2 linked regions of the Daphnia pulex genome follow. The protein of the gene in region 2 interacts with the protein of the main gene of each other region in a biochemical or structural test. Links are inferred from orthologs where the notes say so. Each region holds a gene or a part of one and is shown on either strand. Other genes may lie near its edges. The genes, in order: small ubiquitin-related modifier-like and E3 ubiquitin-protein ligase Arkadia-like.

Region 1 (11,189 bases), on a different chromosome or scaffold from region 2:
ATGTTTGCTGGCGTACTCAAGATTTTACCTTTTTTTGCACAAGACAAATTTAGATTTAAAATAGAAGGGATGAAAAAGATGGAGGATGATGAGGGCCTAACTGTAGCACACGGAAAAACAGAAACAAAAGGTGGCAACACTTGTTCAGTACCGCTGCTTTTTTTAAATCGCCTTTTTGGTTCTCAATATACAGACGTCCTTGCCTCAAGTGCTAATAAACCGATTACGAACATTAGAAAAAAAAAAGCTTACTTCCATTTTTGAAGAGAAAAAAGAATTTATCTGAAATGAATAAACCAGGAATGTCCCTTGTAAGAGCAGCGAGAGGACCCTCAAGTAGGATCAGAAGTGTTTGCCTTCCTTTTTCTTACTCTCGATGGAAGGGGGGCAAAAAAAAAAAGATGAAAGGTGGCGAAGGAGGCCGAGAGGCAAGGATTACTAGAGCTGAAAAATATGAATTTGAAAATCTTGTTTCTTTTTATCTTCTTTTCTTTAGCGCGACGCATTTTTCAATTGGTTTGAAAGCCAGTCAAGCCCTTCGTAAAGTCCATCTCCACTGGTGGCACAGGTTGCTTGGATATACCAGTTACGGTTGCGCAGAGAATGAAGTCCAAGTTTATCTGTGATTTCGGCGGCGTTCATAGCGTTCGGCAAATCCTGAATACAAGGATAATAATGATGTCATTGTTGTCAAAACATTTTTGAAAATGAAAGACAAGTATACTTGTTTGTTTGCAAAAATAAGCAACACGGCTTCACGGAGTTCATCTTCGGCCAGCATCCTCATCAACTCTTCTCGGGCTTCACCAATACGCTCACGATCGTTAGAATCAACTACAAAGATGAGACCCTAGATTGTAATGGACAATTAGAAAAGTCACTCAAATTTTTAGCTTAATAAACATACTTGTGTGTTTTGGAAGTAATGTCTCCACAATGGTCGAATTTTGTCCTGGCCACCAACATCCCAAACAGTGAAAGATATGTTTTTATATTCAACTGTTTCTACATTGAAACCTTGGGAATAAAAACAAATTACATGATAAAAACTGCAAGTCAAATTTGCTGAAAATTGAATAAATTACCAATTGTGGGAATTGTTGTGACGATTTCACCTAACTTGAGTTTGTAGAGAATTGTAGTTTTACCAGCTGCGTCAAGTCCAACCATCAATATTCTCATTTCCTTTTTGCCAAATAGGCCTTTGAACAGGGTGGCGAAAACGTTTCCCATTGCAAAGTTGGATGGAATAACTTAAGAATATAACCTAAAAAAGGAAGAATGGCAATTAGAATCACTGGAAAATGTTACAAAGATATATCTTTGCTAACTAATGACTAAACTGAAGCTAGACATTGAGCAACTGTCAAACCCTTGCTCAACGCCGACTCGGTGAAGTTTGTGGAGTGGCAGAACCGACTCGACACGACATACAATTACAAGTGCTTCGCAAAATGAACTAATTATTAATACACTTAGAAGTTGACATATTCGACTCTTTAGTAAATGTGGTGAAGGTAACTTACGGACTCTGAATCGAACGCAACGGATTCCAAAGAATGAACGAGCCCGAATTAGACTACGAGCAGAGGGTTAATAATGGCGGACGAAGACCTCTTTCAACTAGCTATTCAACGTTACGTTGCCACGTCAAAAAGTATGAAGTAGAAAAAGCTGTGCCCGACCCTCTTCTGGAAATCGTAGAGACTCGCCCACTCACCTTTAAGCTTGTCTCATGCGCTCCTAGTGACTAAAAACAAAAACACTATCAAAGAATTAGAACGTTAATTGTTAACTGCATGTTCATATTTGTCATTACAATTATTTGTAAAATTTATTTTCAATCAAGAGGATTGGATAGCTCATAATAGGATTTACCTTTTTTATACAAAATCAAGACATCTAGTACTATTATTAATAGTTGGAAGTTGTATACACTAGAGGCGTGAGTAAGGGAGACATTTTTTTAAAATAATGCTTGGATCGAATTTTATAGCACAGTCCAAGTCACGTGACTTGTTTGATTCCCACTCTATCGAGTATGTTGGAAGCCGATGCGCTTATTAACCATATGTTTTGTCTTTTAAAAAAAGGATTAAAGGCACTTTTCGTATTGTGCACGAACTTAACACGTCATCTTAGTAGATCCGTCTTCCTTGAAAAACGGCCGCCGACTGTTAAGAATGCTTGCATTAATCTGAACTATTTTGAGAAATGAAACCCGGCGAATTTTTTAAAAAATATAGTACATGGCACGAGAAAATTGAATGACGAGCCGGCATTGTGGCATAGTTGACACATTAGTAACACGGATCTCTTGTCAGAACCCAGCCGTTTATTTTAAACAGAAGTTGGTCATGTTTATTGACATATATTGACTTTGAGAGTTTAGAGTCTAATTTGGCATGATACAAGTTATAACGAACGAAGTGAGGTTTTGGGGGAGTAATCCTATTTCTGCTTTGGTCCCGTGACGTTTCCGGGTCTCACTGTTTTATTTGGCACTTTTCTTCTTCGAGCGTTTGTTTTACTTTTACATTTGCCCTTGCTAATAATCTTCACCTCTAAAATGTCATAAAAATATCAACTGTGCATCGTTTAATTATGTATGATATAAAAATATACGTTTTTTAGGCTGTAATTTGTTCTTGCATGCAACCATTGCGGGATTCAGATAGGTAAGCCCGTCGTTGCCGCAGACATTTTTCACGACTGAAGAATAGTTACATTCACGAATATCAGGTCGAAGACAGCGTCCTTTATAAGCTATTCGAATCACTGAGAAAACCAAACAAATTCAACACGGATGGAACCATTTCCTAAAAAAGAATATTTCAAATAGCCTACTGTTTCCAGGGCTAGCCTTATTATGGCACTGTAAAGCCTTCAGATTCGTGTAGGAAATCCCGTTAACCCCACAAAGTGGTTTATAACTTTTGGGAATTTTACAACTTGTTGCACCTACTACTAGTACAACTGAACAACACAAAATAAAGTATATTATAAATTCTTGATTGACAATTTATTTTTACCAAGCAACAGCGTTGTGCAATGCATCCTCTCTCGAAAAGGTTTGTACGCACTTTGCGATCAAAAGCAAGAAATGGAAGTCAAGACCTTTCATCCTTGAACTTTGATGTCAATATTCATAGCAATACAAGTTGATAGAAACAAGTGGCAGAGTGCCCATAAGTTAACGAAAGGATCATTCTCGGTTACGAAAATGGTTTTATTTATTCGATTGGAAATGAAGAACAGAAAGCAGGGCGATATTTTGATGACAACATTGGAAATTAAAAGACAGTTTTGTCCAGAAAATGTGGAAAGTTTTCCATGAATGCATCGAGGTTCTTAAATTAATTGCCACCAGTTTGTTCCTGATAAACCTCAATGACATCATCATTCTCCATTTCCAACTAGAACAGCAGTACAGAAATTCATTACTTGCATATCATTTAACACATCAGCTAAGTGCATTAGACACAACATACCTGTTTAGGGGTTTCATCATCATTAATTCGCCTTCCATCAAACAAAAACCTCAGCGAAGTAACTGGCACACCCTGAACACAAAGAAAATCTTTATCAATAAGTGAAAAAAAAAATGACAGGAAAAACCCTTACCACTCTTTCACTATAAGACTTCTTGAGTTTGCCCATCTGTGTCGTCATCTTTACTCGAAAGTGAATTTCATTTGAATCCTGGCCAACAACTTTCAATTTGATGTACTCTGATCCTGCATCACCGGCATCAGGTTTCTGATCCTGTATATTAAAAATAGAAACCACAGTTAGCCAAATTGGTATAGGGTAATGCAAAGGCAAACAGTTAAAATATCGAACACATGATCAGAACTAAAAAAAAATCGACTATCCAGCAAAGACAACACGTGAAAACAAATTTTATGGAAAAAGAAACGAATGGGGTAAATTTAGCAATACTTAAAAAGTAACATAGATAGTTACGTGCTTACATCAGCCATGGTTAAAACAAGTTCTTTTTCTAAAACTAGCAGCACGTTTGAGACGACTCTATTGAAGAATAATGAATAATGGCGTGGGCCAAAAAAGCGCCGAGAATAAACGTTGCCGCACCAGCTATATACGTCTGGATGCCGGCACTGCACTAAAAACTTATTTTAACAACGGCCGGCCACGTATGAAATGAGTACATTTTTTTAAATTAAAAAACTTTTTTTAAATAAATTGGAATATATTAATAAAATTTGTAGGATTTTTTTTAAATTTTTTGCTGCTTTGAAGAATATTTTGCTTGAAACAATTGCACAATATGTAATTTGGGATTGATAATATTTAAAATTAAGACTGATGATATCCAATGGCTTGATTCAATAAAAATATAAATTGAGATCTTCTTCGACTACATTTTGGCTGCTTAAGCAATTATTACACAGTTAGCAATCGTTATGGATGATTATTAGCAACGTGTGCGTGCAGTTGATGTCCCTTAATTTAATTTGATAATCATACATCATATTAATGTTTCATGAATTAATAGGTTTACAGCCGTCACTACGTCCATAGCACTCACTCCATAAAAATTTTTGCTGAGATTGTAAATGCCAACCGCAGCATAGAAACGAGTTACTCCAATAATCAGTTAGCAAACTAGAATCGAATTTGGTGAGTTGATGACTTGAATTATTAAATGGCGGGACGACTGCTGGTTTTCCCTGTACGAATTGATAATGCTGTCGTAATAAAAAAAGGAACATTGTTGCGACATCTGTAGGTAGTAAATAATTTGTGTTGTTACAGTTACAGTTTCGCATCGTCGGATTTTTTTCTGTTTGCTGACTTCGTTCTTTTGAATGAGCGACACACCAGTATTAATCGACCAATAGCATCCTATTCCAGGGGAATTTTAAGAAAATTTCTTGCTTACTGACAAGTTGTGTCTTATGGAGTACAGCAAACCGAAATTATAGAAGACTATTTTATTAGATATTTTTGAATGAATGTTAAATTTTGGTTTGATTCTGTAAACCTTCCACTGGAATTCGAGCAATTTTTTTTAGTAGTCAAACTTGTTGCTAACCCAACGAAAAATTTCCAACAGCGTCATTTTCATTTTAGGAGTCGAATTTATTGCCATTTTTATTAATTAATTCCATATAGCTATTAATGCGTTGTTGTACAAATTATTTTGTTCTAGATTATTGCGCTTTAGTATGAAATAAAACCTTACCTTTGAGACGGTTTGGGGGTTTTATTACAACAAGATAAATTTTATTATACAAGATGATGCCTCTTCTTTACAGAAATATTTTTTAAGCATTGCACTGATCCTTCGGTAGTTGAACAACAGTCAGACGAGGAAGCCAATCAATCTTTGTCAAAACTTGTTCGTTTCCTGTATTGACTTCATCCATGCTATAATGCAATATAGAACTAGAGAGGAAAAAAGTACAACTCACTAAGCCACACGATTGTCAAATTGTCAAAAAAGATACGAAACATGTGTCATATTGATTCAAGTATTAGCCGTGTGATTCATATACAAATGTGTATCTAATGTATTATTTGTTTTGGCAACGAGTGTACAATTCACATTTGAATGAGAAAAAAATAGAACGGAGGCAGAAGGTGCATTATCCAGTTGACACACGCAGCAGGAGCAACTTATTATGTGAGACATGTGGCGTGGAATTCAATTAATCTTCGTTCGCCGCAGGAACGAATACAGACCGTATTTTTTGTATTGTTTGATTGATAGGATTTTAAAAACTTGGCGGTAATTTATTTGGTTGCGTACGATGAGAATCTACTTTGGCTAATAGAGTGGGGTTGATTCTACTCAATGAGCACTGTACTTATATTTTATGTGTTTCGTCCGAAATGAAAGTTGTGACTACATAAAAATTAAACTAGAGTTAAGTCTACGAATGTCTACTGTTCTCAATTTTGCAAAGAAGCTCAATGCTATTGTCTACAGCTCAGTCACGAATGAGCAATTCAATTTCAATTCTCGTCGCTGTCGTTATTAATATTCTCTTTCCGCGTGATAACGGTGACGTCCTCTTGATTGGGTACTGGACCACTGGAAACGTCATAAGGAGGTGAAGAGGATTTACCGGCCGTCGTACTTGGCTGTTGGCCTGTGACTGCAAGTCCTGAACGAAGTGATTCGAGAGCCTCACCCAATCCACCCCTCACTTGATTGAATTCCTGCACTACTAACGACAAGCGGCCCAGCAAAAAGTTCAAATGGTCGTCAACTTCGTTGACCCGTTCCGTTACCTATAACAAAGTTCATTAATCAATTTCATAATAATGTCGTTCGAAGATATTCGTACCTGGCCAACTCTTTTGTCCATGCTGCTGAGAGCTTGAAGACTACCGCCGACGTGTTGGGCTGTCTGCTGTTCCACTCGTTGCAACAATTCTTGTGATTGACTGGCGCTCTGGTATAGCACGCCAATCTGACGCCAGACCTAGATGATTTTAGAAATGAATTCTATAAATTAGTAAATAGGGAAAAAAAAAACTAATAATAAAAGTAAAATCATTTTTATAGTCCGTGTACCTGTCCGAGTTCATTTTCTAGTTTACTTGTCATGTTAGTAAGTGCGGTACTTTGATCTTTGATGACCGAGAAGGTGACGTCGTCGACCTTGCGGGCTAATGTCGAGTTCAGATCGCCCGTTTGTCTGCGGATTGAGTCGCCCAATTCAAGCAAAATTTGCTGGACGGCAAATTCGAGACGTCGTTTCGTATCAAGAACTCCATCAGCCGTGTCGAGAAGTACTTGTTCTACTTTTTGCAACCCGTGAATTTCTTTGGCAAGACTTGCATAGCTTTTGTCCACCCTGTCGGCCAATGTCTCGGCCATATTTCCAGATTCCTCCACCTAATTCATGAAAAATTATCATGTGGTAATGATATTCAATTATTATTTGATTGTGAAAGAGATTATTGGCATTACCTGGTCTTGGATAAGCTTCTGACTCTCACTCATTTTGTGTTCAAATGCTCCAAGTCGAGTTTGAAACACATCGGTGACATTCATCACACCTTTGTCAATTCCGCGTGACAAAGATTGCCAACCTTCTTTGAAGTTTTCGTCTAGTTTCATCTGTGACTGGTACGAGTCGTTGACCAGTGAATGAACAGCATCGAGCGTTGGTTTCAGATGGACTTGAATAGCGGAAACAAGGGCCTCAGGATTGCTCTGCGATCCGGAAGACGATCCGGAATTCTCCAAAGATGTCTCCAGCTTTTCAATACCGACTAAGATGGCTGAAGTGTCATTCTTCATTCGACTCGCCTGGATGCAATCATGAAATTTTCATTGACATCTGTTCTCAAGAATGAACTCTGAAACTCGTATACGTGATCAGAAATGCGGTTGACACCAACTCCAAACTGGTTGACCAGATTCTGAGCATCGCTGAAAAACTGTCGCCATTTGCCTTCCGTAGCCACCAGATTGACAGATGCAGCTCGCAATTTCTCGGCATCGCCAGCTTGAGCTTTGCCCAGGTTCTCCATGGTAGTCAACTGTAAGCTCTCTAGTCTCTCACTGCGCGTTTCGTACTTTTCTCCAACGATTTTCACCTAGGAAGTTAACAGCATGTAGCTCTCACTCGCGATCTTGACTGGATTAATTTTCTTAATACTTACTTCGTTAGCCACAACTGACAGACGGTTTTGCAATGATTCTTCCACGCTCTCCACCTTTTTACGAGTGCGAGTCAGCTGTTTCAGTACTTCGCCGAGATCTCCAGTTGAAGCGGCTGCCGGAGCAGGACCACTAGGAGCACCGGCACTTCTTCCGGATTCAATTCCATTGCGGATAGCCACTGTATTGTCAGTGATTTTCTGGAGTTGAATTCTCTCTCTCTCGTCCCTCTGATATAAAATATTGTGGTTGATATTTGACCTTTAATTATAGATCGACTTGAAGTTACCTGTATGACCATTTCTTCCATCTTACGGAGCCGCTCATCGGTTCGGGCCATGAGGATAGCCAGGTTCTCCAGATTCTTATCTTGACCACGTGTTCGTGAATCAAGATCTCTAAGGGAACGCGTCAGGGCATCTCCCAGCTGCCTCTCACGAAGTTCGTGGCGTTCGAGCTTGCCCGTCTGCTCTCTAACTGCTCCGACCAGCGTCAAAATAGCGTCCCTGATGTCCGAATGCCTACCATTTCGAAACTCGATTAGATGTGTTATTTACCGCAGATTGGGAAAAGAGACGAGTTATAGCCTAATTCGCATGGCAAATGACATCACCATGCCTACGATTAGAATCTTTTAAAATGTTGTCGATTGAGGTCAAGGCATTGAGGAATTCGAGGAAGCGGGAAGACTTCAATTCACTTGGAAACAAGGATGACACGAGCGACATCATCGACTTATTTCAAATCGAAAGGGAAACGGCGACCTCTGTCACTCTGTCATATCGCCGGCAAGTTCCCACAACAGGAAATGGGCGTTGTTTCTTCGGTTTTGTTCATTGAGCTACTCAATCCACGTGTTTGAATAAAAGAAATCAAACATTTATGAATCTTTATTATCTATGGTCAAATCTGGAGACTCAGACAACCCCCTTACCGCCGGCCGCATATACGGCCCATGGCGAGCTAGAATTTCCGTTCAAGCGCTTCACAAGTAAATGGCATATTCTTGTTTTTGTTGTTAGCAGCACATGTGTTCAGCAGACTTTTCAACAACTATTAATTCCAGAGCAACGATGGGAGCGCAAAAAGAAAGAGGGCAAGGTTGTTTTGAGCAACTAGATAGACCCCCATGAGGCGGATAGCATAGAGGTAATTGGATACGGCAGTGTGTACGTCTTTGAGCGCAAAAAGGAGTACTCGAAAGAGACTTTGCTGATTTTTTCCCCACCCAAACCTTCCCCGACCGCTGGTTAGAAGGAAAATTTAATCTTAAAGCTTTCTATACATCACATATCCCTTTATGCTAGCCATCATCTTGTAATAATGGAGAAAACTGCAAATGTACACAATGAGGAAGACTTGCCATGCCCAACTAATATGATAAAATTTTTACTCACGTGATGAGAGATGCTGCGGTCGCTCCTGGCTGTTGAGGCGTCTGGGTGGCTACCGGATGAAGCAAAATGACGGCCGTCGCCGAAATCAAATACCAGAACGTTCTCATTCTTTCTTCAGATGGTCCGACTGAGGAGGCGGACGTAAAGCTTCTGAAGAAGATGGGACGATCTCGGAAACAAACTGTGGGTTCCAAGAATGAGAGAGAACTGTCTCTGCGTCAAGCCAAAGCTAAAAGTGAGCAATTTCGAGTCACTTTTATGTGGGCTTGCCGCAGCATGACATTTATCAGCTGTTATCGAATTATCAACACAAACTGACAAAAGCAGTTAACTTTTAAAAAATAAGCCATTTTCATTCCGTATAATCACTGATTTTGCTTATTGTGATCAGTGCTGCGAGTAGTTATTATATGTAATACTGTATATATTGTCGTGAGAGAGTTATCAGATAAAATTAATAAATACCCTCTGTATGTCGTTCATAAAAAAAATATTTGAAACAGTGACACCTAAGCAGTCATGGTGGACCTAAGTGGTCTGATGCCATGTCTAAATAGACCGTACCGTAAGCATTCGTAATACATCGTAATATGAATGTTACTGACATTTCACGTTAATTACGTACATTGACGAAACGCTTCTCCGACGTGTTCGAATTTGAAAAATTTTTTAGGAACACCCTATTGCTATAGTTAAAGACAAACTGCTGCAAATCGGTACAGCATTCGCAAGCGTAAGCGTACAGCGAAAGCAGATGTCTGGGGAAAATGTCTCAGTATCTCCTTTAACCGAACCTGAAAAAAATGTTTATTCTAAACAAGAAGTAACGAATTTTAGCTGACTGACCTTAATTGGATCAAATAAATTCACACATTCTTAACTTTCTATTGTGTGAATTTTTGCAGTTCATGCTATTCAAAAGAAAAAATATTTATGTTGGTAGCTATTAGATTATTTTATTTAAAAATAAATTTTTCCGTCTGTCATTGAACGCAATACGAAAAAACAGGAAGTGCCGTACGCCTCTGAATCTCTGAACGGGAGATATTCGATTGATCATTGATGATAAGACCTGCACCTGCTGTCTGGCCAAATAATTAAAACGAGAATGACGTATTAAAAAAGAGTGACGCATACGTAAGTAGCGCATCAAGCGCTACTTTAATGATTGGTTCATGGAGATGGGAGAATACTTTAACATTATATTACATCTTGTAAAATGAATAATTTAAAGTTGTGATTTCAAAGCAGCTTGAAGTACGTACATATCCACGATGAACTCCTAGGTATAGTTATAGATTTTTAGAGCAAAAAACATGGGAAAAATAAAATTTGTGCAAATATGTACAGTATGTAACGTAGATTACCCGGAAACGTAATCATCAATACCAGTATGTAATGCGTTATTTCACGTTATAGTTGACTGTTCGCTGTGCCAACGTCCAAATTTTCATTCAAATTTCATCGCTATCTTTTCTACAAAATTCAACGTTAGATGGCGGATAAAATATCCAGTTGAAAAAGAGAATCATGGCGGGAAATTAAAAACGACAAATCAATCAATCACATCTAATACCGTTTATTGGATTAAAGATTATAATACTGTATAAAAGGTAATAGATTGAGTGATATTGCACTAAAACGCAAAACGGCGATTAAAATATGTAAAGATTAAATCCCAACAATAATTAAAAATAAAAGAACTACAAGAGTAATATTTAGAGCCCTTATTTCTTTCCTTAACTAGAAAATGTATTTAGCCCCCGGAAACAAAAGATTTCCCGAAATAAGCGCTCGACGAGTAGTCAATTCGTCTACACATAATGAAAAAGAAATCAATGGTTACTTTACTGCGTCTATTTTTATTTTTGTTACTTGCAACTTGCCTAAATTGACATCGCTGGATAGGTAACACATTCTGTATTGTTCGGCCAGTCACACTCGCTCGTGTCTACGTTCCATATGAGTCCTTCCGGGCAAGCCATCAGATATTGAATACCGTTCGAACAGGTAATAAAAGTTGAACAATTGTAGTAATTTGGATACACTCCATCTGCTGGACAAACAGAAACACGCCCATCGGTTTCTAGGAAAAACGGTTCGTTAAAATTTTTTTTTAAGCTTAACGTACGCCCGTACAATATATTTTG
Region 2 (12,612 bases):
TTGTTGGTCAGCTGCTTGATGTAGGGCGAACGCAAACCGTTGTACATTCTATTTATCATGATTGTGATATCTCACTTGAGTTTAATCATGCTCTTTAAAACAAATAAGATGTCTTGTTTAAACTTTCACCAAGTAATTTTTGTCGAACGATTCGGGCGCCGTTTTTTCGTGATTCGTCTTCTGCTTAAAATCACACGTGCAACTACAGGAAAACTACACACTTCAAATCATTTTTCTCTAATTAATCCTAACATCCTGCTTAGTAGGTGTTGTAAACCATTGTTGTTTTACGTTTTTTTCCAATTATTATATGCTAGTCAAGGAATTGGTTAATACAAACTCAGATCCACGATTGAATTTCTTTTTAGCACCGCATGACAATTTTGCTTTCCATCGTGCTTACTCAATGAAACTGCAAGTAAATTTCATCCCCCTCATCCGATTCTATTTTTTAAAATTGGCGCTACTGTTTTTTTTTAAATTTATATTATGATGAAAAAAAATCTTCTGTTATGTCAATTAGGTGGGGTAGTTGACTAGCGTTTAAATGTGGCAGAAACAAATTGCAATTAATTTTTTAAAAATTTAATCAAATGATTTGTTCCTATTTGTTCAAGTTATTAACAAGGCAACAACGCATTCTTCTGCTTTACAATATGGCGGCACAACACAAAATCAAACATACAACATGAGCTCCGCTGTCCTTAGATCCTTAATAGGAAAAACGGTATTGTTTGTTGTGATACTAGTTTCATTTTCTAACCATGTGTTTTGTGCCATTCGAGGTATGTTGAATATATAAAATTTCATTGTTAAATTCTAAAATCGTGTTCTTGTTGAATGATGTAGCTGTTAAAGCCGGCAATGCACCGAATCAGTATAACATCAAGCCGGCGAATATTTACAATGTGTCGAATGATCATTCAGAGGAGTTGTTGACTATATTTTGCTGGCCTGGTGATTCAAAAACTGTGTTTGGGCTCTGGAAAACTGCAACAGTAAGTCTAATCAAGTATTAATTAATCATCCTTATCTTTACGAGACATGTTCTGTTTCCAGGTGTATTTAACCATAAAAGATGACAACTTTAACATCTACAAGGGGGAAAATGCAAGCCATGTTGTTCATCTTCACGAATTACTTCAGCAGTCTTGGTTTTCATTTCTTCCTTGGAAAGAGAAATCAATCTCGGTATCACCATTCAATATGTCATGCACAGGAGTTTTTTCAAAATCTGAATTTCTCTTGAGATTAGATGTCAGACGTAAGCAAACATATTTTGAGGTGTTAACATTTTTAAATCCATGATTAAACATATCATTCTGTTTCAGAAATCAACTTTAATCGTTTGTTAATGTTCATTGCTGGAATACTCCTTTTTTCGGTTGCACCAACACTGTGTAAGAAAGTTATATTTCACTACACTACTGGAACGCTTGTTGGAGTATTGGGTTCAATTCTCATTATTGTCTATCTTACTAGCAGGATTATTCCCAAAGTAAGTCTTTGAAATTAGAAAAAAAAACTTCTTAAAAACTAACTACTTTATAATTTGTTAGAAATCTGGTGCTTATGCTGTCTTGATTGGTGGGAGCTCTATAGTCTTTTACCTGATCAGAAGTCTCTGGGAGAACATGTACTCTGTGCTTCGAGAATATCATTACTATGTGATTGCTTACCTAGCCGCCAGTTCAGTGATTAGTTTCGCATTTTGCTACCGATTTGGTCCAGTCACAAATACTAGAACCATTAATCTCCTTCAGTGGTCTCTTCAGTTGTGTGGCTTGTACCTAGTGTTTGAAAGCAGTGAACATAAAGAAGGAGCAATGGCCATAATCTTAGTCACGGTTGTCTCGCATAACTTTCCGGGAGCGTGGTGGGCTCGATGCCAGACACTGTGGTAATAGCACATTTTATCATAAATGAGATAGTTCATGATTATTATCATTTGCGTTTGATGTGGTAGGTTCAAAAGATTTCCCCCTACCGTGCGCTTATTAACCGAAGATGAATACGTCGATCAAACTCGAATTGAAACTGAACGAGGACTAAAGGAATTACGAGAATTCAGCAGAAGTCCCCAATGCAACGCCTGGAAAACGATGAATCGACTTAAGGATCCCCTCAGGTGATTTTTAATTTATTATTCTTTCATTTCTATCGAATGGTGGCAGATTGGGTGGTCTTGTCAAGGAATTTTTATTCGGTCGTAAGATTCCCTAATCCCTACCCTTTGTTCGCTTTGTCTCCGGCCTGATTTTTTGCATGGGTTTTGTTGATAGGATGCGAACTAAACCTAGTCCTCGTTGTATTGAATTCGTCTCGACTCCACCTAAAAATAATCGAAATAGAAGGTCTTCTCGGTACGCAGCTTGTGGATTTTAACCGAATGGATTGGTTAATACCGTTTCGTTTTGTTTTTCTCTTCTTTTTAATAGATTTGCTGAATTTGTGGAGGGCAAGTCACATCTCTCAGATCGTGAAGTGCTCGACTACGAGACGACAGCGTATAGAGAGAGCGAGACATGGACGGACGACGAATCAGATGAAGAATGAAACAGTGAAAATGATCAATTAAATGCAAGAAACAAACTTTTTATTTCCCCCTTTTTTTTCTGGAGGGTGAGGAGGAGGTCGGAGAGTGAGAGTTGAAATTTGAAAGCAAAGTCGATTTCAAAGCAATTAATTTCAATACATGAAAATCATAAAAGAAAGCTTTTAACCTTATTTCAGTTAAACTGTGGGGTTAACATAGGTTGAAGAAAGGCGCCGGTACTGATTGTTAATAAAACTCGCGACTCATTCCTTGATTCCTCTACTACGGTAAAGTTGAGGTAGAGCAGAACGTTTCACTGGTCAGGGAAACCCCCGAGTCAGCCAACACTAGTTTGTAAACTAATCATAAACAACTCTTCTTTCTGACTCATTTCATCATCATAGATCACGCTAATTTTACGCAAACACAAATATTAATATAAACACCACTACAAAACTTCGAATTAAAGAGTAGGAAAGAGAACTGGGATAATCATATACTGAAGGAAACTAGCGTTATTTAAACTTTAAAAAAAATAGGAATAACCTATGTGCAAAAGTTAAGTTCAGCTTGCTGGAGCTCCGGCCTCCATTTCGGTTGCGTCTGGAGGTATACGGAGAGTAGCTCCTTCAGGAGTAGTTGAAGACGAGCTCCAGCTACGAGAATCCCCTTGTCCTTGCTCTTTCGATTCCACTTGGGCTTCAATATCAACACGACAAAGTGGACAGAATTTAACAGTGGTAAGCCATTGGTCAACGCAAGAGACATGAAACAAATGCATGCAAGGTAGACGACGGACATCTTCACCTTCCTCAAATTCACACAGGCAAATGGTACACTTTTCGGTGTTGTCTTCATTACTGTCGCCATCAACGCTGCTGTTGCTACGCAAGAGACGCTTGTACGAATGCGACAGAGTATTGCGTTCGATGCACGTCTGGGAGGCACCACGCGAGAGCTGGGCCATTCGACGCTGTTCCACCAAGCGCATGTACTCTTCCAAACGCGTTGAAGGACGTAAAAATGGGTAGTGATGTGGTGATCCGCTCAAGAATGGACTGTTGCCCAGTGGGATCAATGGTGGTGGAGGATGGTGGTGGTGACCGTGCTGCTGGTGGTGAATGTACAACGGGTAGCCACGGTGGTAAGGTTGCTCCTGCTGATGGGCTGGTTGGATTTCGACTGCTGCGGCACCTTGAACACCGGGCATGGCAGGTGGTGGAACGCGTTCCATTGGTACGGTTCGAGGTGGTGGTGGTGGTACTGCGGGCGGGATGGCTGGTCCTGGACCTATACTGATATGCAAATTGCCAGGCAGACTGAAATGGGCAATGTGGTGGTGGTAAGACGGAGCAAAAGCATAGGCAGGAGGAGGAGGCAAATGGTGATGGCGAGGATCTAAATTGACAGGAGAACTTTCAACGACAATTTCAGCTTGAACGGCCGGCATCATGTGGCTACTCAAATCGGGAGCGTGAACAGTTCTGAATTGTGGCGAAGGACTGCTGTTGCGCTCCAGTGCAACTGGATGATATGGAGGAGGCGGACCAGAGAAACCAGTGGGTTGTTGTTGATTTTGAATGCCTTGACTCATCATCGGAGAATCCGGAATCGATGACGGACCGCTAACTTCGACGGTTTCTCCAGCTGCGACACGTTGTGCCATGTCCATATGACGTCGAAGAGCTTCTTGCGAGCGGTGCTGTGAATGCCAAATCCTCTGGTGAATGGGATGGATACGCATGAAGCTTCGAGCAATGGCAGGCGGCATCGTACAACGTCCGTCCACGGGTCGTGAAGTGGGGGCCGCATGGTAAATACCAGTTGTTTGAGGAACGAAAACGGGTGCAGGTTGAGCGACAGAAGTGGCTTCAACCAGCTGACTGGGTTGCAGTGGAATGGCCGCAGCCTGATTAGAAGATCCATCTCCTGCTACGTGTTGAGGTGACGGAGTGGCTACTGTTTCAACGGCCATACTTGGATAACTCCACCAGACGGGCGAACGAGCTCCACCGTGGGTTTGAACGGTTGACGGCAAACGTAGAGTCAGAACTGGCGGTGGTGGAGGATGGTGATAAGCTGGCGGTGGTGGTGTATACGAAAAGGCAGTGGCATGATGAGCTAGCGGAGATGGTCGAAGAGACTGATTAGGAATGTAATGTGCTCGTATTGGATTACCATTGTTTGGCCAAGCTACACCCATGGGCGTGGGCCGTCCTCCGTCCACGTAAAACTGCCCTGGACATCCGCACCAAGCACCTGGGCGGTTTCCTGCAGAGGACGATGGAGTAACGGACACAAAGGCCGGCGATGCTCGTCTTACTTCAGCGTCTGGCTGATTGTTCTCTTCAATCACAACCGGTATTGGTGCCATTGGAGGCTCTGCTTTAGGTATAGCTCTTGACTTTACAGACGACGATGGTTTGGGCTGTCTCCCAGTAGAACGAGAATAGCCCGACGATGTAGAAGGATTGGGAGTCGACGTTTCGTCTTCTGAAATGGTAAGATCTACGACTTCGGGTTGATGCTGAGAACGCAATAGACCAGGTCGGACGCTTACTACTTCGATGCAACTATCGTCATCGTCAATGTCTGATTCGGTAGCAGAGGAGGAACCGTCAGTCAGACATTCTAATTGTAGATCATCAGCAACTGGGCCATCATCGCCAGTTACCGTTCTTGCAACTCCGATACCCGATGGACCGGGTACAGGTTCTCCACCAGAAGTCTCGGCTTGTTTTTTGGACTTCGATGCGTTGCAATTTGAATCCTGTTGAGTTGTATTCGGTCTTTTTCGGCGGACATCAGATGATGAAGATGATGCTGCTACAGCAGAAGCAGCAGCTGGAGGAAAAGATTCTACGCGGTTACTGTTGGCCCAATGGGGAGGTGCTGGTGCCTCCTCCAGTCCAAAGTGAAAGCCATCGACGTGGCTACTGAAGGAGGCAAGAGAAAGAAACTCGTCGACTGGGCCAGGTGAGAGAGAGGGATCGAAATAAGGATTTCGAGTGATAGTGATCTCTCTCTCCCCACTCTCCATACTGTCGTCAAGGAATACAGGATCTGGTGGTCCAGACAGACTGTACACTGAAGGTTGCAAGTTAACACTGACATTAATACTTGTTGGCATTTGAAGAGTCAATGGCAAAGTTTCATCATAGTGGAGTGCAACTGGGGGTGAGAGCAGCTGTGACGGCATCAAGACAGGGCTGGGAGTTTCTAATTCTGGCATGTCCAAATCCTCTTCATCAAAATGGCCTGATGGACATTCACCATCAATAGAAGGGCAATTCCTACTAGGTGTTCTGGGCGGATTAGTCCTTCCATTTCCAAATGCCAAGTGATTGTTTGTTTCTTCTGCTGAAAGTGATGTTTGTTTCGGAACATTTTCTGTTGCTGACTTGCTACTATTTGTTCCCGAGCTATTGGATCTTTCAGTGTCCATTGTATTTTTTCTAGACGGGCCAGCTTGTTCGTCACCCATTATTGATAACAACTCACTCGATAGAGACGGCTCGAGGCAAGATGCTCCCAAGGGAAGAAAAGACGATGACGTTTTCCTCCCTACACCACCTGATGAAATATGTTTATATAATGAAACCATTTGTCATTAAAATTAAGATTAGTTTGACTTACCATTAAAGACTGAAAAACAAACTTAACAGTAATCCTGTATGAAAACTCGGTAAAGGGCAAAGAGTCACGCCAATCAAGTACAAAACCCTTTCTTTCCAGTTAAGGACAGCTGATGAGACAATTGTCTTTGCTGTAAACAAGTGCCAACGGTGCTGCCAAGTGCCAATATTTCGGTCAACATCGATTTTTTTACTTATTTTTGGTTGTAAGTTTGAATGATGAAATGATTCATTAAATAACTTAAAAATAATTACATTTATGAGTTAAGAATTTCTAAATTAATAAAGTTTACGTAATTTTAGAGTTCATTCAATAATATTTAAAAAAATATGAACAAAACTGTCATCGTCTCTTTTCCTTTTGCCTGACTGGCTGACTGACATTCTGACAGATTAGTTATTCGTTTTTTTGAATAATAAATATCACAATTTCGTAAACAAGTTGAGAATTTTTTGTGGGGAATGTCCATAAGTGAACTGAAATACTAGTATTGCTGTCGTTCGAAATGAGTGTGACACATAAAGAATCGGGAAGTAAAATCGTTTTTGTTACTGTAGGGACTACCCAGTTTGACGAATTAATAACTCAAGTTTTGCATCCAAACACGTTAGAGGTATGTTCGATATTTACGTTGCATTACACATTTTTCCTAGTAAATAATAATGTATAAAATTTGAGCATCAGATTTTGGAAGATGATGGGTACACACATCTTGTTCTGCAAATTGGACTTGGTGTTGAACCTCCAATTCCTATTTCACGAAGAATACAAATATCTTGTTATCATTTTAAAGAAAACATTTCTTCTGATATGGAAAAAGCCTCCCTAATCATTTCACATGCTGGTGCTGGCAGTTGTCTTGAGGCCCTCAGTGTAGCAAAGCCATTAATTGTTGTGGTTAACCAGAAGCTGATGGGCAATCACCAGCTAGAACTTGCTGAGAAGTTACATTCTGAAGGACATGTTTATATGTGCTATCCAGAAACCTTAAAAACTACCATTGTTGATTTTAGAACTACTAAACTCCAGAAATTTCCTAGAAATAATCCAGTTGCATTCTCAGCCTACCTTGAAAAATTGATGGGATTTCAAAAATAAAGTTCAATTTGTGTATTGATTTCATACATTGTAAACGTCTAAGTTGAAAAAAAAAAACGGTTGGATATGATGCGATAAAGTTAGTGTCGCGAATAACGATCTGCCGAATAGCCAACGGATCCAGACTGCCCGATAACAGGGTTGTTAAGACTCCCTATGTTTCCTGTCGCTGGATTATATTGCGCGGATCCACTAAGAGGGGGAGCTGATCCAGTCCAGTTGTTATTAAATGATCCAGACGACGCCATTGACCTTCCGACAGGCATTAACGAGGATGACGATGCGCTCCAGCGATCTTGTTGCGTACTTCCGTTGCCAGACCAGCTGGTGTTAGAAGACAATCCAACTCCATTGCCCAGCATGGTATTACCGCTTCCATTGGAACCGTAATTAGTTTTTGAACTTCCAACTCCTCCGCTTGATACGGGGGCATTCGCACTGGAAGGGCCTCGCTGCCAGGGCTCAGACACTCTCTCATTGTAACGGTGATCTATTCGAACAAAAGAGAAAACCACAAAATAGTAATTAATATATGATCGCAACCGCACTTTCCATCCGGCTTTTACCTTTCCCACGTGAGTCGTTGGCATATCGATCACGATGATCTCTCTCCGGCATGCGGTTGTTCCGTATCGGTTCAGTTGCACTTCCCCTGCCTACTCCTCGATCACGCGGACGCTCTCTTTCCCGCTCCCTGTCACGATCTGAAAAACCTTCTCGGCTTCGGCTCCCGCGATCGTATCTATAATTTTAAAAAGTAATTAGGTTAAGTACATTAATCCAGAAAGAAAAATTTTGGATAATGATTAACAAGGATTGTCACGATTTGAATGACTTTCCTGTTAAAATTTGTTACAGGCTAGGAATAAAATCGTTTTCAATTTAGCGAGCTGATAAATGGCACTGCCTCCACATAAGTAAAGCAGCACTGAGTGCAGCTGCATTTTTAAATTAAATATAAGAAGATTCACACATTTAGTAGTTACATACCTCTCATCACGTCCCCTGTCAACGACCCGTCTGTCATCCAAGCGATCACGAGGAAGGGGAGGTGGTGACGGCGGTGGGAGTCGAGTGTCTCTGCGAACACTTGATATTTCTTGGACTACGCGTCGTGTAATGACAGCCGCTCCGGCAGTTGCAGAAACAGATGACGGGGGTGGACGTTCGAAGCGGCGGGCGTGGTTGTCGTAACCGCCGCGAACCGGTTCAGATACCTTTGAACCGCGATAATCAGCATTCAGGGAGGCAGAACCCGATCCAAAATGTCCGCCACTTCCAGCGTTGCTACCCTTGGGATCAACAAAGCGTGATGATGGATCGAATCGCATCGACCCTTCCATCGATAGGCGTTTACGATCGACAAAATACCCATCACGATCATTGGGTGCTGTCCTTTTAGTAGCGCGCCTTACTTCTTCTATCTTGGCAAGAGACCTGAAAAAACAAAAATGTTAACAATCGAGACGGAATAGACTCAACTGTAAGAACTTCTACTAAAATATGTTCATCTCCTATCCTAAGGTAAGCAAGTCTAGTTATCAAACTTCATCCTTTGGCAAGGGAGACAATCTCTTTTAATATTGCACTGTGAATGGTTGAATTCGACCATGAGACATCGAAACAATCGTTAAATTCACGATGCTGAACGGAATGGTTCATTATCCTTTTTAAAGTTCGACGAACGAACGTGGGAAGCGGCTTCCGTAAGGCGTGGCGCATTAAAGGTTTCCTCCCGCGGATAAGCCTATCTATTTTGTGTGATGAAGGGCAAGTAGAATTATACCTGGCTTGTCGACGCTTCAGCTCTTCTCGTTCAGCTTCTATTTTCTCCCTTTCGAGGCGCTGCTGTTCCCGTTCAAGGCGTAATATTTCGGCTTTCTCGCGCTCCAACCTCTCCCTTTCGATACGAAGCCGCTCTCGCTCTTTTTCCAGTCGGATCGCCTCCTCGCGCTGCTTTCGCTCGAACTCACGCATTCGCGCAATCTCTTCTCGACGACGGCGTTCAGACTCGCGTTCCAACCGCTCACGTTCTCGAATCCGCTGCTTCTCACGTTCCTCCTTTTTTTCATAATATGGATGGATGTCATTGCTTTTCTTATTCCACCATCGACCGTTTCTTTAAAACTGCAAATACCCGAATATGCTGGAAGGTCAAGACTTGTTGACGTGGCCGATGAGGAGATGGGGGTCGGCGAGGTCGATCTTTCCTCTCACGTTCCATCCGTTCACGGTTGACTCGTTCCCTATTTTCCCGCTGCTGCTGAGCCGACGAGACGACCACCATTTTGCCATCTTTGTCTCCTCCTTGAGTTGTCGATTTCTCTTCCTCCTTTTCTTTTGTATTTCCTGCGACGGACGTGTCCCCGGTCGTGGCGGATGTAGCAACTTCCGGTGTCGTTACTTCGCCTTTCTTAGCGAGGGGCGACGAATCAGCTACCGTTTCATCAGTTTTGTCGGCACTCTTTTTTTCAGGGACTTCATCTTCGGTTCCAGCAGAGGCCAAATTTTTTGAATCAGAAGATTTGATGACATCAGCCTTACGCGGTCCATTTTCTCCTGTGGTCTGATGATTCAGAGTTCAGCACGAAAGTTGGAGGTTAGAAGGTGTGATGAATCACAACGTGAGACAGAAATAAACTAAAATAATTAAAGCTAAAGAGAAATGTGCTTCTCCTATCCTAAGGTAAGCAAGTTTAGTTATCTAACTTCATCCTTTGGCAAGGGAGAAATGATTATGTTGCATGTCATGTCGTCAACGAACCGACCACAATTCCATCGATCGTTTACTTTAAGACATCATGCGGTTTCCTCTGTCTAGTTTAAGGGTCCCACGAGTAAACAATCCATAAAATTTACGAACGCTTCTTACCCGCTCTACGGAAATCATCCGACCGTGGATCTCTGTGCGATGGAGGTACTGAATGCACTTGGATGCATCTTCACTAGTAGCCATGGTTATGTATCCGAAGCACCGTACACCTGGAGTTCGAGCGTAAGTGACTATTTTGGCTCCCATGACCTGAAGAGAAAAAAAAAAGGGCATATTAATATTACACAATTCACCCACATCACACGTCATGAAGTGGTACGTACTTTTCCAAATTTAGAGAAATGATGTTTTAGATCCGTGGCGCGGGTCGATGTCGACAACCCACTCACCCACAAGTTACGACTACCGCCATTACTGCTAGAACCTCCTACGGTTTTCTTCTTATCTGTTTTGAAAATAGAGAGAATTTTTTCTTCATTCATCCATTTCAAAGGATCAAGCTAACATAATTGAGCGTTCGGTGAAATACTACTAGTGAGACAGCATATTTAGATTTTATCATACAGTCATGTGATAAAGCACTCACATACAACACAGTGACGCTTTGAGTGATTTTGAGAAAAAAAATAATAAACTTATTCCCATTGCCCTTCAGCATTAAGTGCGCTTCTCAGGATACGCAGCAACAAGTGGGACATGACGTTGGGTTAGACACACACAACCCACTCACTTGTCTGCTCAGAGACACGGTTCACACCAAAAAAAAACTCCGGTGATAAATAAACAAATATGGCACAGTCGAAGAAAAACCCCCGGGGCTAAAGAGAGAAGAGCCAACTAGCTAGCGTTACCACCACACGGCTAAGTTACGAACTTGGTTAGTATCTCCGAAAAATTTCACCACGGGGAATGCGAGATGGCACGACGGATACCCTACTCCCACCGTGAGTTATTTTCGCCATGTGATGCGGCTAAAGGGTCAAGAGAAAACCCTAAAAGGGAAAGGTAAGACAACTTGTGCCATCAAAACTTCCTAAAAAGAATGAAAAGAATGGAGAGAAGGAAAAAAAAAACTTTCTATCCCTCTGCCGATTCATCCTCGCACGGTGGAAGAATTTCTTGGCCATACACAACAGTAGAACAAAAGGCACGTCCCACTTTGGCACAAAAACACAAAAAAACTCAGCCCTCATGCACTGAATTGTATGGCGACATTTTCTAATTAAAGCCTACCAGGAAACCAAAATTTGCTTTTGTGCTGCGGACAATGTAACAGCGATGAAGGCACCCGCAAGTTTGCGTGAGTAGTGGAAACAAGTAATTCAGATCTCAGAACGCATTAGAGCAAATCGAGGTAGGCGGGTATTTCTACTAGAGAAAATTACTAACGCTCAAGTCGTGATACAATGACAAGTCGTTGTCATGAACAAAACGCCACCACGAAGACATTTCACTCCACAGGCGCTTTCGTGAAATCTTCTTATCTTCGACGAGTCGAGAAACACAGATTAAACCTAACAATAAATAAAAAGCTTGGCGCAAACACATTTAACCGTGTTCTAGCCCGACGCAGCATTCCTTTTGTCAACAAATATTCTTTTACATCCCGAGACAAAAAGAAGTGAAAATCCCCGAGTCAACATCAAGAAATTGTTAAAGGAGCGCCGAGTGGAATGACCCATAACTGTTCTTTTCTTTTCCCCCTTCCCAATATTTAAATTATTCTTTGTCAGCAACAGGAGTAGATAGTACAGGTACACCTACTATCAACTAGGTATATAAATTATTCACAAGGAAAACCAAAAACAAGTTTCTACCTCCCCCCTACCTTCCAGTAAACAACTTCCTCTGTCATCTGAAGGAAGTTATTACAGTCGACAGTCCTCTCAACTCAACAAAAAATCAAGTCACGCACCAATCAAGAACACAACCTCATAAAAAGAAACGGAGCTTTTTTAACGTGAAATAAATTACATCCTAACAATAGAGCTGCAGAAGCTATCTATCCCATAACGCATTGTTTGAATTTGAGCATCTGATAAGAAAATGGAAAGAACGCATCGTGAGCGGCAACCATCGATCTAATCTAACTAAAAATGCTGTCTCTAAAGAAAGCCGACAAGCTTTCCACTATTTTATGTAAAACCAGCTTCTACTATCTTAAATTAAATGATCGGAAAACGTAATAGTGACTCACCTCTGTCATCTTTGGAGGCCGTTTTCATCCCATCTTTAACGCCGATCGAACTACTGTTAAGGGAAAAACATAAACGTCAGAAATGCAAAATAAAATTTTTGCCTATTAACGAAATAATTAACACGACGAGGACCATAACGAGAGGCGTTTAAGCATTATTGAAACAGCGGAAGTATGTCTTAGTTATGTTTGTTCCACTACAGCCTCTTACCGTGGGCAGTCACTTATTGTACTATTGGTCGAAAAAGGCTTGGATTGATTCAGTGAATGACAGTTGTCAAGATCTAACTCGTTGCGGGTTAAACGATAAAGGGCGGCGAATGTCTGTAGGCCCAATAATGGAAAACGATGAAGCCGAGCGGCAAGTTTGCA

The links.
Region 1: the proteins of E3 ubiquitin-protein ligase Arkadia-like (region 2) and small ubiquitin-related modifier-like form a complex in vitro, tested with the Homo sapiens proteins (3 studies listed by BioGRID). The link is inferred for Daphnia pulex from reciprocal best matches to the Homo sapiens genes RNF111 and SUMO1.

The regions. Positions count from the first base shown.
Region 1 is NC_060017.1:274,240-285,428, forward strand, and holds small ubiquitin-related modifier-like, read right to left. Parts: upstream 4,137-11,189; 5' UTR 3,984-4,136; coding exon 3,975-3,983; intron 3,766-3,974; coding exon 3,625-3,765; intron 3,564-3,624; coding exon 3,492-3,563; intron 3,417-3,491; coding exon 3,357-3,416; 3' UTR 3,209-3,356; downstream 1-3,208. Other genes in the region: ADP-ribosylation factor 1, read right to left, coding at 493-657, 725-850, 908-1,017, 1,086-1,233; serine protease inhibitor dipetalogastin-like, read right to left, coding at 2,452-2,564, 2,626-2,778, 2,848-2,976, 3,033-3,057; putative leucine-rich repeat-containing protein DDB_G0290503, read right to left, coding at 5,983-6,261, 6,318-6,455, 6,548-6,871, 6,947-7,288, 7,354-7,578, 7,645-7,872, 7,932-8,163, 9,040-9,146. UniProt on the Homo sapiens protein: Ubiquitin-like protein that can be covalently attached to proteins as a monomer or a lysine-linked polymer.
Region 2 is NC_060024.1:8,991,401-9,004,012, forward strand, and holds E3 ubiquitin-protein ligase Arkadia-like, read right to left. Parts: upstream 6,334-12,612; 5' UTR 6,173-6,333; intron 6,110-6,172; 5' UTR 6,021-6,109; coding exon 3,102-6,020; 3' UTR 2,575-3,101; downstream 1-2,574. Other genes in the region: nuclear envelope integral membrane protein 1-like, read left to right, coding at 1,251-1,264, 1,332-1,498, 1,560-1,900, 1,967-2,128, 2,283-2,363, 2,439-2,556; UDP-N-acetylglucosamine transferase subunit ALG13 homolog, read left to right, coding at 6,678-6,785, 6,851-7,270; SAFB-like transcription modulator, read right to left, coding at 7,351-7,760, 7,837-8,012, 8,261-8,707, 9,057-9,331, 9,408-9,836, 10,143-10,292, 10,367-10,488, 12,241-12,293. UniProt on the Homo sapiens protein: E3 ubiquitin-protein ligase. Required for mesoderm patterning during embryonic development. Acts as an enhancer of the transcriptional responses of the SMAD2/SMAD3 effectors, which are activated downstream of BMP.